2 linked regions of the Drosophila melanogaster genome follow. The protein of the gene in region 2 interacts with the protein of the main gene of each other region in a pairwise test. Each region holds a gene or a part of one and is shown on either strand. Other genes may lie near its edges.

Evidence for each region. The genes of interacting proteins can lie anywhere in the genome.
Region 1: the proteins of CG14739 (region 2) and CG9106 interact in a two-hybrid assay, tested with the Drosophila melanogaster proteins (one large-scale study listed by BioGRID).

The regions. Positions count from the first base shown.
Region 1 is NC_004354.4:15,268,579-15,274,829, forward strand, and holds CG9106 (uncharacterized protein), read right to left. Parts: upstream 3,828-6,251; 5' UTR 3,409-3,827; intron 3,337-3,408; 5' UTR 3,253-3,336; coding exon 2,821-3,252; 3' UTR 2,458-2,820; downstream 1-2,457.
Region 2 is NT_033777.3:12,046,329-12,052,233, forward strand, and holds CG14739 (uncharacterized protein), read right to left. Parts: upstream 2,886-5,905; 5' UTR 2,804-2,885; intron 2,745-2,803; 5' UTR 2,645-2,744; coding exon 2,024-2,644; 3' UTR 1,925-2,023; downstream 1-1,924.

The DNA of each region.
Region 1 (6,251 bases), on a different chromosome or scaffold from region 2:
TTGCTCTCTGCTTCCCTTTTTGCACATCCGTTGCCGTTTGTGCCATTTGTTTATTGCCAGTTTTATTGCTTCATTGCGAAAACTGGCGAGCTATACTCTGCTTATCTACCCCCATGCCCCACCAAGCCCGTGGAAATCCTGCCGCCTTCTGCTCGTTTTTGGTCCTTGCAGCTTCATCTTCATCCGCATCCGCATCCACATTGCTTCTGCTTTATTTTGGCTGATGGAAATATTTTTACGACAAGTTTTTCGCGAAGATTTGCAACATTTGCAGAAAACGGAAACGGCAGCCAGCCAACGGAAGTGGATGTGGCACTGAAAGTTGCGCAAATCAGCGCAAAAACAAAAAAAAAAAAAAAGAACGAAACGAAACGAGGGAAAACCCTGGGAGTGGTCTCTGCTCAAATGGAACGCACATTTTGGCCATAAAACGCTTAACGTTGATGTGTTCGCCTTGATCAACCTTTGACCCCGGCTCAGGCTGACCCCGGATGTTGTCAACTTTTATGCTAACATTACATTCGGTGGACAGCATTGGAATGACAGCCGTGCCCCGCACTTTTCGCGTCCATGAATTTTGCATGCGGCAGCAGAATGCAAAATTATAATTAGGCAGCCGCGTGATGCGAGCGAAACAAGAGATATGGCCCTTTCTTCCCTTTCTCCCCTTTCTCCACTTTCTCCCTTTTTGCTGCCAGTCCGATTTTACAGTCAACGCACGTTCGGGCATAAAGTACATTTTATTAGCTTGCCTTTTGCATCGGCCATCGGGTGGGTGGCTTAGTGGTGGTGCTGCATCACTTCCAACTGGCCTCTAATTTCCAGCTGCCGGATGACACGTAATTGGTGTGACCAGGGCACAGGAAGTTTCGGGAGAAACAATTACGTTGCATTCGTTGCAAAGTGTGATCAGCAAACGAATAGCTGGAAAAAGCATTCACATTTAATTACAACTTTGGATAATGTACAACATACAGGCAATTGAAGGAATCAATTGTACAATAGTTTTGCAAAATTAGTGTGGCCAGGCTGTGAAAAGTTGTCACTTAACTGTTTGCCTTAACGGAGAAAATAATTACACGAATGTAATTAGTTGATGTAAAAAGGTAGTTGTAGCACATTTAAGGCTCCTGCTAATTCAAATCAAAACGATTCCCTGCGAACCTTCGAAATTATTTTTGAAAGCACCAAAACACTTTGGTCACACTTAGGTAGATACCTTTCATACGATTTGATTCGCTATAGTTTCTCCCCCGCTGGCAACGCTGCGTATGCGTAATAATTTTTTAGTTGCGCCACACCCGACACGAAGCCCATGGCAATGCAAATAAATATTCAATTGCAAATGGCTGAGGGGGCGGACAGTACACTCCTCTCTTAGGCTGTATTTTTTTTTTATTGTTGGTTTTTTTTTTGCTATAAAAGCAAGGGAGAAAGTAGGGAAGGTACACGCGAGGCGGACGCGCTCAAATTGCAAATTGCGCTCGTTTACAAGCGAAATAAATGCGCGAGCGCCTGCCATTTGGCAAAAGTCAGCCATGCTCCACACACAGATCCTGACCCACCGCATTTTCCGCTTTTCCACCGATTCCCGCCGCCAGCGAATGGCATTAGAAAAATGAAGCGTCGTGCCGCAAAAGACAAGTTGGTCGTCGTCGTTGCCTCGCTCGACTTGCTTGGCATTTTTGTGTTGCGTGCTTTTGGGCGCGTAATTAGATAAGCAGCCAGCCTGGATATGGGTCCTGTTTATCCATGCCCCAGCTCCTTGCCGTGTCCTGGCACGGTGTCACCAGCCAGCCAGCCAGCCAACTGAACAACCAACAAGCCGCTGACAGATGGAGCGTCATAAAAGCGGCAACAACAATGCGCCGCAGAATGTCTGAGGTTAGGAATAGCGGCAAAGTGGTGGGGCGGAAATGGGAAATGGAAAAGCCGAGACAAGACCAACCAACCAACCAACCAACCAACCGACCGACCGACCAAGCGAGCGAAAAGGGAGTGTAAAGCGGTGACGGGGATTTGAATTTGTCACGTGGCCGGCAAACGCACCTGGGCACAAAGGGGCGGACAAGGACACAACATGCAATTATACGCAATCAACATAAATCATTCAAATTGCCACGCACACACACACACTCGCAGAAGAGGGAAAAATAATGGTAAAGAAAAGTCGAGACGCACTTCAAAAGGGGGCGGCTGTCGGTGTGGGCGTGGTGACCGTTGACGTTGGCTTTTGGCTAATTTGCAATTGAAATGCCCAAATTCTGTGGGCTGGCCGCATTACGCATACGCCGTGTGGTGTCTGCGTGGCAAAGGCTCCTTAAACTTCCGCTCAGTCCATTCATCTTCCACCCCCGCATTCCGAGTCGACTGACAAATGCCACAGGGGCACGTGAAGCGGCCAGTGACCAAGGTAAATGGCACCCATACTGTCCATAGAGATTTCTTTATAAATTTCCTTTATTTTATTATTATTTTTTTTTATTTTTTGCAATTAATTACGGAATAACCTTGCAGATTCGTATACTATTTCTAGTAATTGCTGCCTTCGGAAAAATCACTTAACGCCAGGAACTTAAAATTTAGAGCAGGGAATGTAGCAAGAAAAAACAATCGACGTTATATTGCCAATGCCACGTATTTGGCGAATACTGAATTCCTAGATTTTGCCAACAGTGCCAAAGTTCAAATGACAGTTGCCATGGTCCAGCTTATAAACCGTACAAGCCAAACGGAGCTAATCAAGAATCCATCAAAACCATCGTCCATGTGCGGTACACTGCAATCGCTTCAACGAAGAATCTGGTTTATGCATCACCATCAGTCGAACAGAACGTCCATCGGTATGCCATAAATCTCGGCCAGCTGCAGTTTGGTGTAGGCAACAACGCCGCTGGGACAGTAGGCCATCGCCTCCTCCAGAGTGACCCACTTGGAGCTTGACTCACCGGCACATACCACATGCAGATAGACGATACCATCGAACATCTCATGGCTGATGATGCCCATCAGGTTGCTGGGGGTGCCGCTACTGACGTTTCCGGCGGTGTTGCCACTACCGTTACCATCACCGTTACCGTTACCGTTTCCGCTTCCGCTTCCGTTTCCGCCAATGATGTTGCCGCTCTGGCTCCCAGCGCTGCTCATTCCATCGCCGTTGCCACCGTCGCTGCCGCCACCGCTGCCGCCACCCACGCTGCTACCGCTGGCATTGGCGTTCGAAGAGGTGGACGGATTCAGATTGATGACCATCCTGGAAGGGCAGCGGTTCGGGATATCTATGAGGCAAATATCGAATGCAGCCAATTAACTGAGTGTATTTATAATTATTTGGATCTAGTAAGCCGAAAAGTATTTCTTATATATATTTAACAACAATACTTATATTATAAGTGATAATTAACTCACCTGAATATAAAACTATCAAAAGTGGAAAAGAAATCGGATTGGAAGCAGTTATCAAAGTGGCTCAATACTGAAGCTTCGTTGCTGGTTGCTACCTTTGGCCTTCTGGACGGGATGGTCCGTGGTTGGATTCTCGGTTAGTCCTTCGGAAACCGTAAACTTTGAACTTTGAACCTACGAATTTTGTACTTTGCTCGGTGCGATCCAATGAGACTCTGGTGCAGTGATGTGCTGCTTAGGGATCTGTTATACACTTCTCGACGTTCAAGTCGCACGCGATTCTAGTGCAACTCTCTAATTAGCTAGATACAATACCAAGTTATGATTTTTGTTTCGCTGTTTGATTCTTTTTTTTTTCGATTTTCCTCTATTTTTTTTCACTTTTGTTTAAACGGTGTGTGTGTATTTTGTGTCGATTGTGTGTGTTGACTACCTAGATGATTTTAACTTATGAAATGAGCCATGACATTAATCTGGCATTCTTTTCAAAGCCAGCTGGTACATTTTGTTTCGACGATGAAATGAGAGACACAAATATCGCGAATATTCAAGATTTTGGTAAATTAATAATTCTTATGGCTATTTCATTAATTCATGACACTGCACATTCTAAGTTAGACTTTAAAGTAAGTGCAGTAAGTGTACTATTTAAGTGCAAAAAGGCAAACAAAGTTTTCAAGGATTTTTTTTTTTAGTGTTTTCCTCAGAAAATCCCCATACCATTCACAATTTTTTGACATCGCCCGGCAACACGGGTGTTTATGAATGTGCCATATAATGTTTTGCTTCTGCCAGCAGCACCAAATGAACTGAACAAATAAAACTTTCACGGCAAAGTTGTTGACACGGCAGCCTCCTCCTCTTCCGATTTGCAGCTGCAATTCCTCACCTTCATGTTCACGCTTAGCTCTTTATTTACGATTGCAGGTGCAATGCGGGAAAAGTGCAGGAAAAGTATGGGAAAAGTGTGGGAAAAGTGTGGGAAAAGTGCGGGTGTGGGCGAGAGGAAAAGCAAAGTAAAAGCACCAGAGCTGAGTTTAAGTCGCGGGAGCAGGGGTCCCAAAGCAATTAAATCGCATTCGCCGTGTGGAAAGCAAATAGGATTCCGGGTGGGGCTTTGAATGTGGAGTCCGGACAGAGACAAACAATCAAACGGAAATTAATTGCGGTATGTGTGAAAAGTGAAAGCCAAAAGCTGTTCGGTAAATGATTGTCGAGCAGCGAGTTTTACCCCGGTTTCCCCACGACGACTTTAATTCTTAAACCCTGATTGATAGCTAACCTCGTCCTGGAGCAATGACTTCTGCTCTCCAGCTCTTCAGAATCGAAATGAAACCAAGATAGTATGCTGACATCCGAAAAGAAGTAAATTTTTACCACTGCATAGCCACACAAAGCGAAAACTTTTACACAGCAACCATGTAATAAAATAAGTCTTCAGAATTCGATGGGTAATCTTTTCAGCTGCTTTTTGGTCATTCAATATATGCTTTTCGTATTTAGAGGCATTTTGCTTACTCATTGAACTTATGTATGTGAAACACAGCAATTTTCCACACTTGTGTCATGGCATTGCCAAAAAGCGATAAGGGCGAAGGGTCGAAGTTTAATTAATACACCATTACGTGCTGTTTTTGGCCAACAATGGGTGGGTAAGCTTACCATTCGTTTTGAGATGCGTTGCAGCCCAATTTTGTCAACGTGGCCATAGCTGTATCCACATCCGGATCCGGTTCACAATGAGACGACGACTCATTGGACCGGCAGTGAGTTATATCAAAGACACTAGAATAACAAGATGCGTAACGGCCATACATTGGTTTGGCACTATGCAGCCACTTTTTTGGTGACGGCCAAAATTACTCTCTTTCCGCTCACTCCCGCTGAGAGCGTAAGAAACCTAAAAATATAATTTGCTTGCTTGTGTGAGTAAAAACAAGAGACGAGAACGCGTATAAGTGTGCGTGTTGTGCTAGAAGACGATTTTCGGGCCGAAATCAATTCTGATCGAAGAAACGAATTTACATGGTACATATTAGGGTAGTTTTTGCCAATTTCCTAGCAATATGATAAAATAAAAAAATTTTTTAAAATTCGCGCCCTGACTATTATAATTTTAAAGCTTTTTAAATTTGTTTGTTAAAATTGCCGCTCGAATTAGCTACCGTTTACACATTTATATTTATGTTTAATTCTAATTTTTCTCTCATCTGACAATTTTTTAAAAGCTAAATATTTTTTTTGAAACACTTTTAATGTTAATGTTACATCATATTAAGTCAAATGATTTAATAAATATACTAAATAATTAAATATGCAATTAAATGAAATTGCAAAAGTAATATCAAAGACAATAGAATTATTCTAGTGTCTTTGCTTTGTTCATATCTTGAGGCACGAAGTGCGGACACAAGCACTCAACAATCATTACCTTATTAATTTTTCACACGCCGCAAGATGAATACTCTAATGACAAATATTCTTATATAAAGTCATTTTTGAAATTTATTTTTGTGATAATATGTACATAGATTTGAGTATTTCTAATCTATTTTCAAATAATAATAACGTTAAGGCAATGCAAAACAAGAATTTTTCGCATGGTGCCAATTGATCAAAAATAATATAGATTTAAAGCCAAAGAACTTCTAAGGTGAAGGGCATATTTTTTCAAATTTACAATGCATGTGAATACGTGTGCACACATACAGATGTCTGCTATCACTTTGTGCGTTGAAAAGAGCTGTTCGCTGTAGCGCTCTTCGCTCTCTCGCTCTCTACCAAAAATTCGAGAGAGCCTGGAGCCACCTCTAGAGCCACGGCCAAAAAATCGTGTGCCAAAAAAT
Region 2 (5,905 bases):
CAGCTAAGAATTTGGCATGAATACTGGAATATAGGGACAGAAGGACTCATCCAAAGGGCTGGAGACAGTACCAGCCTGGCGGCAGCTTCAATTTCATTAACTAAGTGGTCCATACCAATTAAGTTTTGTGCATTCTGGAATAATATAAATTAATTAGAATATGCTAATGAGGCTAGCCTCCGCGTGGCTATTACCGTGCAGAGTCAACTAAACTCGACTCGCCTCGCTGCGAGTCAATTGACTTGAATAAATTAGCGCTAGCGGATGCATGCTCAATTCCAGGACAGTTGGCTTTAACCGTCTGTTGACCCATTCAGTTGGCCATTGAAAAGTGCTTTCAGCGCCTTTCTCAAGGATTTTTCGTTTAAGTCATAGCTGTGCTCACAGATGTCTGGCCCAAAATGTTTTATCGAAGTTGTTTGATTGATATACATTTTATGAAATTTCAAGCCCATGTAGATTGCTCCTTTGGGGCAGTTCTAAGATATTGCCAGTAAACATTTACCTGCAATTGGCAGGCGAATGAAACTTGTTTGATCCGTGCAACATAATATGCTTTAGGGCCAAAAATTAGATTAAAACCCAAGATGGTGGACTATAATTAAAAAATGAAATTAAATATAAATTGAGTGTGTGATTACTTTAAGAATTTGATGGACTTTTAGCCAGAAAAACCCAAGTTTAAGCAAAATTTAATGAACGCCACGTGTTTGTACCTCAAAGAGAACAAAAGATCTGTCTCGGACTGCATTTCGTTCCTCAGACCGAATCGTTTTCAATCGAATGTCTCACTAAAGACATCATTTCGTTGTGGAAATGTGAAGATAAAGTCATTCAGAGTCGAAAATGGCAACGACTATTGCATAAATTCGTTCGAAGAGAGACCAAGAGAGTGAGCCACATCGTATTCTAATTCGATGGCAGCACACGCAGACAGGCAGGCATTCGACCTGGCCGAAGCCCCTGAAGCCCCCCAAGCTCCGTCCTCATCCTCGGATATCCAGGATTGTCTGCGCAACTGTCTGGAACACTGCACTCACATTGGCCATGGTCTTTGGGACTGAGAGGCAGCGGGCAGGTAGGTGGCCAGCCATTCCATCAGAGATTCAGACCAGGCCAAGTAGTAGGCGTCAATAAAGCCAAATTCACGTCTCGGTGGCCCCCTTCTCCACATTACCGTCGTATTCAACCAGATTTGGGGACAGGCAGACGAATTCATTTCGTCAGTTTTGCGAATCATCACTTATCCAATTTTTGTCCCACAGATATAGATTGGCCTGCACCCTCAATCGAGTCTCAACTAGAAGGTTGTACAGACAATAGAATCTCCTCTCGAAATGCAAACAATTAATGATTGTTTGATAGCCTTTAAGTTTTGGTTTAAATTGACAACCGTTACTCCCACTCCACAATCCTATCAAATACAATTTATCAACCATTTACCTCCATTGTTATGGCTTTCAAACTTTGAACTGTCATCTAGATAGGTTCAGCCTCTTGGGCTTTCAAAAACAATTGCTTAAATAATTATCACAATTAAATCGTTGTTTTCACATGACTGCACTTTTGAACTGAACCACATAATAGGATTAGCAAAACCTTTCTGGCATTTAGCCTAATCAGACAAATTAATCAGAAATCACCTGTTTGGAGTCCTTTGGACGTGTTGACTGGAGTTGGCATCACTTTTAATTATGGTCATTGAATTTCTAATTGTCCTTAATGGAGCGAAATTAATTTCGTATCGGAACATTACAGCAATCTGGTTTCATCCCACTCGACACAATTAAGGCGCACAATTTAATATCAAATATTTCTTCAAGACATTGGACAAGCCATAAAATTGTTAATTGTCATAAACGTGTGATGGGGAATATCTTAAATTAGAAGGGGACTTAAAGCTGTTAAGAGATACGAATGGGGTACATTATTACATAATTTTACTTAAAATTTCGATATATTTGTCCGTATACAATCTTTTATCATACACAGACACAAAAAAGACCTCCCGAATACTCAATGGCTAGCTTGATCCTGGCAGGGCAATGTGTGCGTTGTTCCTGTTTCCAACATCGTCATCATCCGAGTCCGTTAGCAGGTCGGATAGACTGAGATCCGAGGAGCGTTTCTCGAGGCCCTCCTCCACCAGTTGTCGCGTCGGAAGGTTGGCGGGCATGGCGTACGTCTTCATGCAAAGGATAACGTGCTCGCGAAAGAGTTGCTCCGAGTGTTTCATGATGGCGGCGGCCCGGTGATTCAGTGAGTCGTGCGGATTCGGGTAACGCAGCAGCTGTGGCAGAAAGGTTTCGAATATGTTGACCAGGTCATAGCTGGATGACCAAGCCTGCTTAAGGACATTCATGCAGACCAGGCCCGTGATGAACTCGATGTTTGGGTGCAGGATCTTGGTGACAAAGCGAACGCGCGGTGCCGTCAACGGATAGTCCTGCGGCATGGTCACATTTACCGTCCAAATGCCACCCTCGTAGGCACTGCCCAGTGGACCCTCGAGGCAAACATTCAGGTTGGTCATGTCGTCGTCCACGGTGGTGCGGTAGCCCGACGCCAACAGCCGGTTAACATCCCGGTCCAGACGGCGCCCCGCCATCGGCAACGTCGTGTTCACCAGCAATTGCTCGGCCATCTGTATTCTGGCGTTCTGTCCTGTGCCGCCACTGAATCGGATCTACTGGTATTTTGAGTGCACTCGTCTGCTACACAGAGGTACCTTCAAAACTATGCAGCTGGTGGATAGGTTAGTTAATCACCATACGTGAAGTTGTAAATAAGATTTTATGCTTACATAAAATCAATCCAGAATTTTGCTCCTTTTTCATTGAAATTTAATACAAATATGAATAAACCTACCGCCTACTCTAACCTACCAATCAAAATTAGATTACAAATTTTAAAAAGCTTTTCTTGCTGAAGTTAAATCGGATACTTAAGGATGACATTTAATATGATAAATAAAGAAAACCAATTTCAGGACCTTTGAACTTGTGTATTTAGCATTTTTGTAAAAAATGTTACAATGTTATTTTTTGGATATTGGTCAGCTGCCAATTTTCAAAAACGCCTAACCCAAATCGATAGCCTGTGAAAGTGAGAATTTATAGAGTTTTTTATTTCCTAGTTTTGTTTTCTTTCGGACTTGTCGCATTGCGTCTAAGCGGATTTTGGCTCTGGGCCGAGCATTCATTAATTGGGCGTGGGTCAGATAGTTGGGCGAAATATTTTGGCCGTAATGCCAACTGCTTGCAATTGGACACCGGGGAACCAGTCGAATGACCCAAGGCAATGACAATTGTGCACAAGAAGGATGAGCTGTGTCCTTGCAACCGAAATCACCCACTTCTATAAGTGGACATTGCAAGTTGAATGCTTTTCTGACTGCTGGCAATAAATCAAAGATCGTCTGCTGGCGTTTCCATAAAGGAAGCTGTGATAACTCCAATGGTAGAGCCAGAGTGCGAGTGCATTAAAGTTAAATGGACTCGGACTAAATGCTGCAAATTGCTGCCATAGCCAACAGTCATGGATACAAACACCCGTATCTAAGGGATTGCATATGTATCTGCGCATCTATATTTGTATCTCCATCTGTATCTGAATCTGTATTTGTGCATCTCCTACAATGGTCGGAGCTGAAACAATGGTAAATAACGACTAGAAAATTGTAAAAAATGTTGACAATGTTTCTCATGGCTTGCGAATCCTTTGGCCCGAAGCTTTATTTTTTAGTGCGACAGTAAATGCGTCACTCTTCCACACACCCCCCCCCCCCCGCATTTTAAACCACCCTCAGTCACATCTCTCCCTGTCTTTTTCAGTCTGGGTTTGGAATGCGCTTTGTTGCAGTTTTCACAGTTGAGTGCGCTCATTGTTTTCGCTGTCAGCGAGCGGCGCGTCGACAATGAATAATTAGAATTTTGTTGAAGGTCCATTGCTCATTTCCCGAACCCCTTAACCCCCCTTTAACAAAATCCATGGAATAAGCCCCGCCACTGTTTGCTGGGGCCAATTCATGCGACTTTTAATTTGCCAGCCATGGACAGCAAATCAAACAAAACCGATTTGGGATTACAATGAAAAAACGCTTTGAAACTCGGTTGAAATATCTCAAAAAGGAGTTGGACATCGCGTAACAAAAACGTCAATATTCAATATCTATTTTATCAGCTTAAAATTGAAATTTATTTGGATAACTTAATCTGGCAAATATAGAACCGAAGACGGTTTCACATTTCAAGAATATTTGTTTTAAATTTTGTACTTATGTATATTTGCAAATATAATAAAAAGGCAAAGCAATTAAAATCTGATTAAAAGATTCAATAAAAAGTGGAAGTTAGCTATACAAATCAATAAAAAAAGCTTAAATTCCTTTATCTAAAGTAAAGGAATTTCAATATATATACCCTTGGCATTAAAATTCCAGACTAGTTGGCCTGCCATCTCTCCCTTTTAAGTAGATATAAAGTAAATATAAACCAACTTTCGCATTGAATCCGCAGGCGAGCAAGCAAAAATGGAAGTAGCCACGCTTCAATGTGATTTTCGAGTGCATAAATAAAATCTCAAATAGATGCCATTAAGAGCTTTTTAGCCGCCATTAAAGCAATATGGGAGTCCCCGCCCCGACAACCAGTTTCAGACTATTATACGAAGAAATACGATTATCGCGTAAAATTAACGCGAAATTAATGCAAACTACACGCGGCAGCCCAAGGATGACTCTCAGAAAGTACCGGCCGGGGGGTAAAATGGGTGGGTTATCTCCTTGGCAAAGGCATTAAGGAGTAATCTCAACATGGGCGTTAATTTCGTGAATTGTAATCAACTGGGAGCGGGCACCGTAATGAAGCTGTTATGGCACCCAAGCATTGACCACGTCAAAGTCAACACTTCAACAAGTGAAAACAGCGAAACCCGACGAAAAAAAAATTCCTTTACTAGGCTCCAAAACAATGGCCTGGTTCAAACAGTTGGGAGCATAGTCCCTTTTTCTCTCCAGCTCCACCCAATCCACGAAATTTCAAACAATGGACCACCTAAAACAATGGCAAGCGACAAAAGGTAACCGCGAAAAGGATAACTCAAAAGCCAGAAACGTGGAGGACCAGAGTTCCAGCACCAGTCCAGAATCCGGACTCGTTCGGGCCAGAACAGGGCAAACCGCAACCGCAGGTCTAACCCGCTGGCATTTTGGCAACATTCCATAACTCAGCCCACCGCCGACCCGATGTCATCCCATGGTGGCGCCCCTGGAGGCATTCTTCACTTCCCCTGTGAAGGTAGTGAAATACACACAAATTTGTGAAATTAACTTGATAATTTTTAATTAAATTTCACAGCAGGAGTTAAAATGAACAACAAATTTTAGCCAATAAAGAAGGAATTAAATGGCATTTTCGTTGTCATCGATTACAAAGTTTGCATTTAATCGAATATAATATACGTTGATTTACGCCTTATTTTGGATTAGCAGGGATTGGTGTTTTTTGAATGCCGTGGCTTTTTGGTCTTAATTTCTAATGACAAAAGCTTTAATGCAAAGCACTAACGCATATTCACTAATTACATCATTAGAAGAAATTTGAAAAAAATTGTCTATGACTATGATAAAATAAATAAATAAGATGAAAAACAAAATTGAATTGTATTTCTTGATTTTAACTTATAAATAAAAAGAAGGAGTATTCATCATAAATAATTTTCCCCTCTTAATAATATGTACCTATATATTGTTACGAAATATTATTCATAATTTTCTTTAGCTAATAAATTAAAATTTTACAAGAAAAGAAGAACTACAAGGCAATTATTTAGACAAAAATGACGAAACTCAAGGGTGAAAGCAGTGGTGCTAATAATTGTTTGATTTAAAATTAAAGCGAAACAT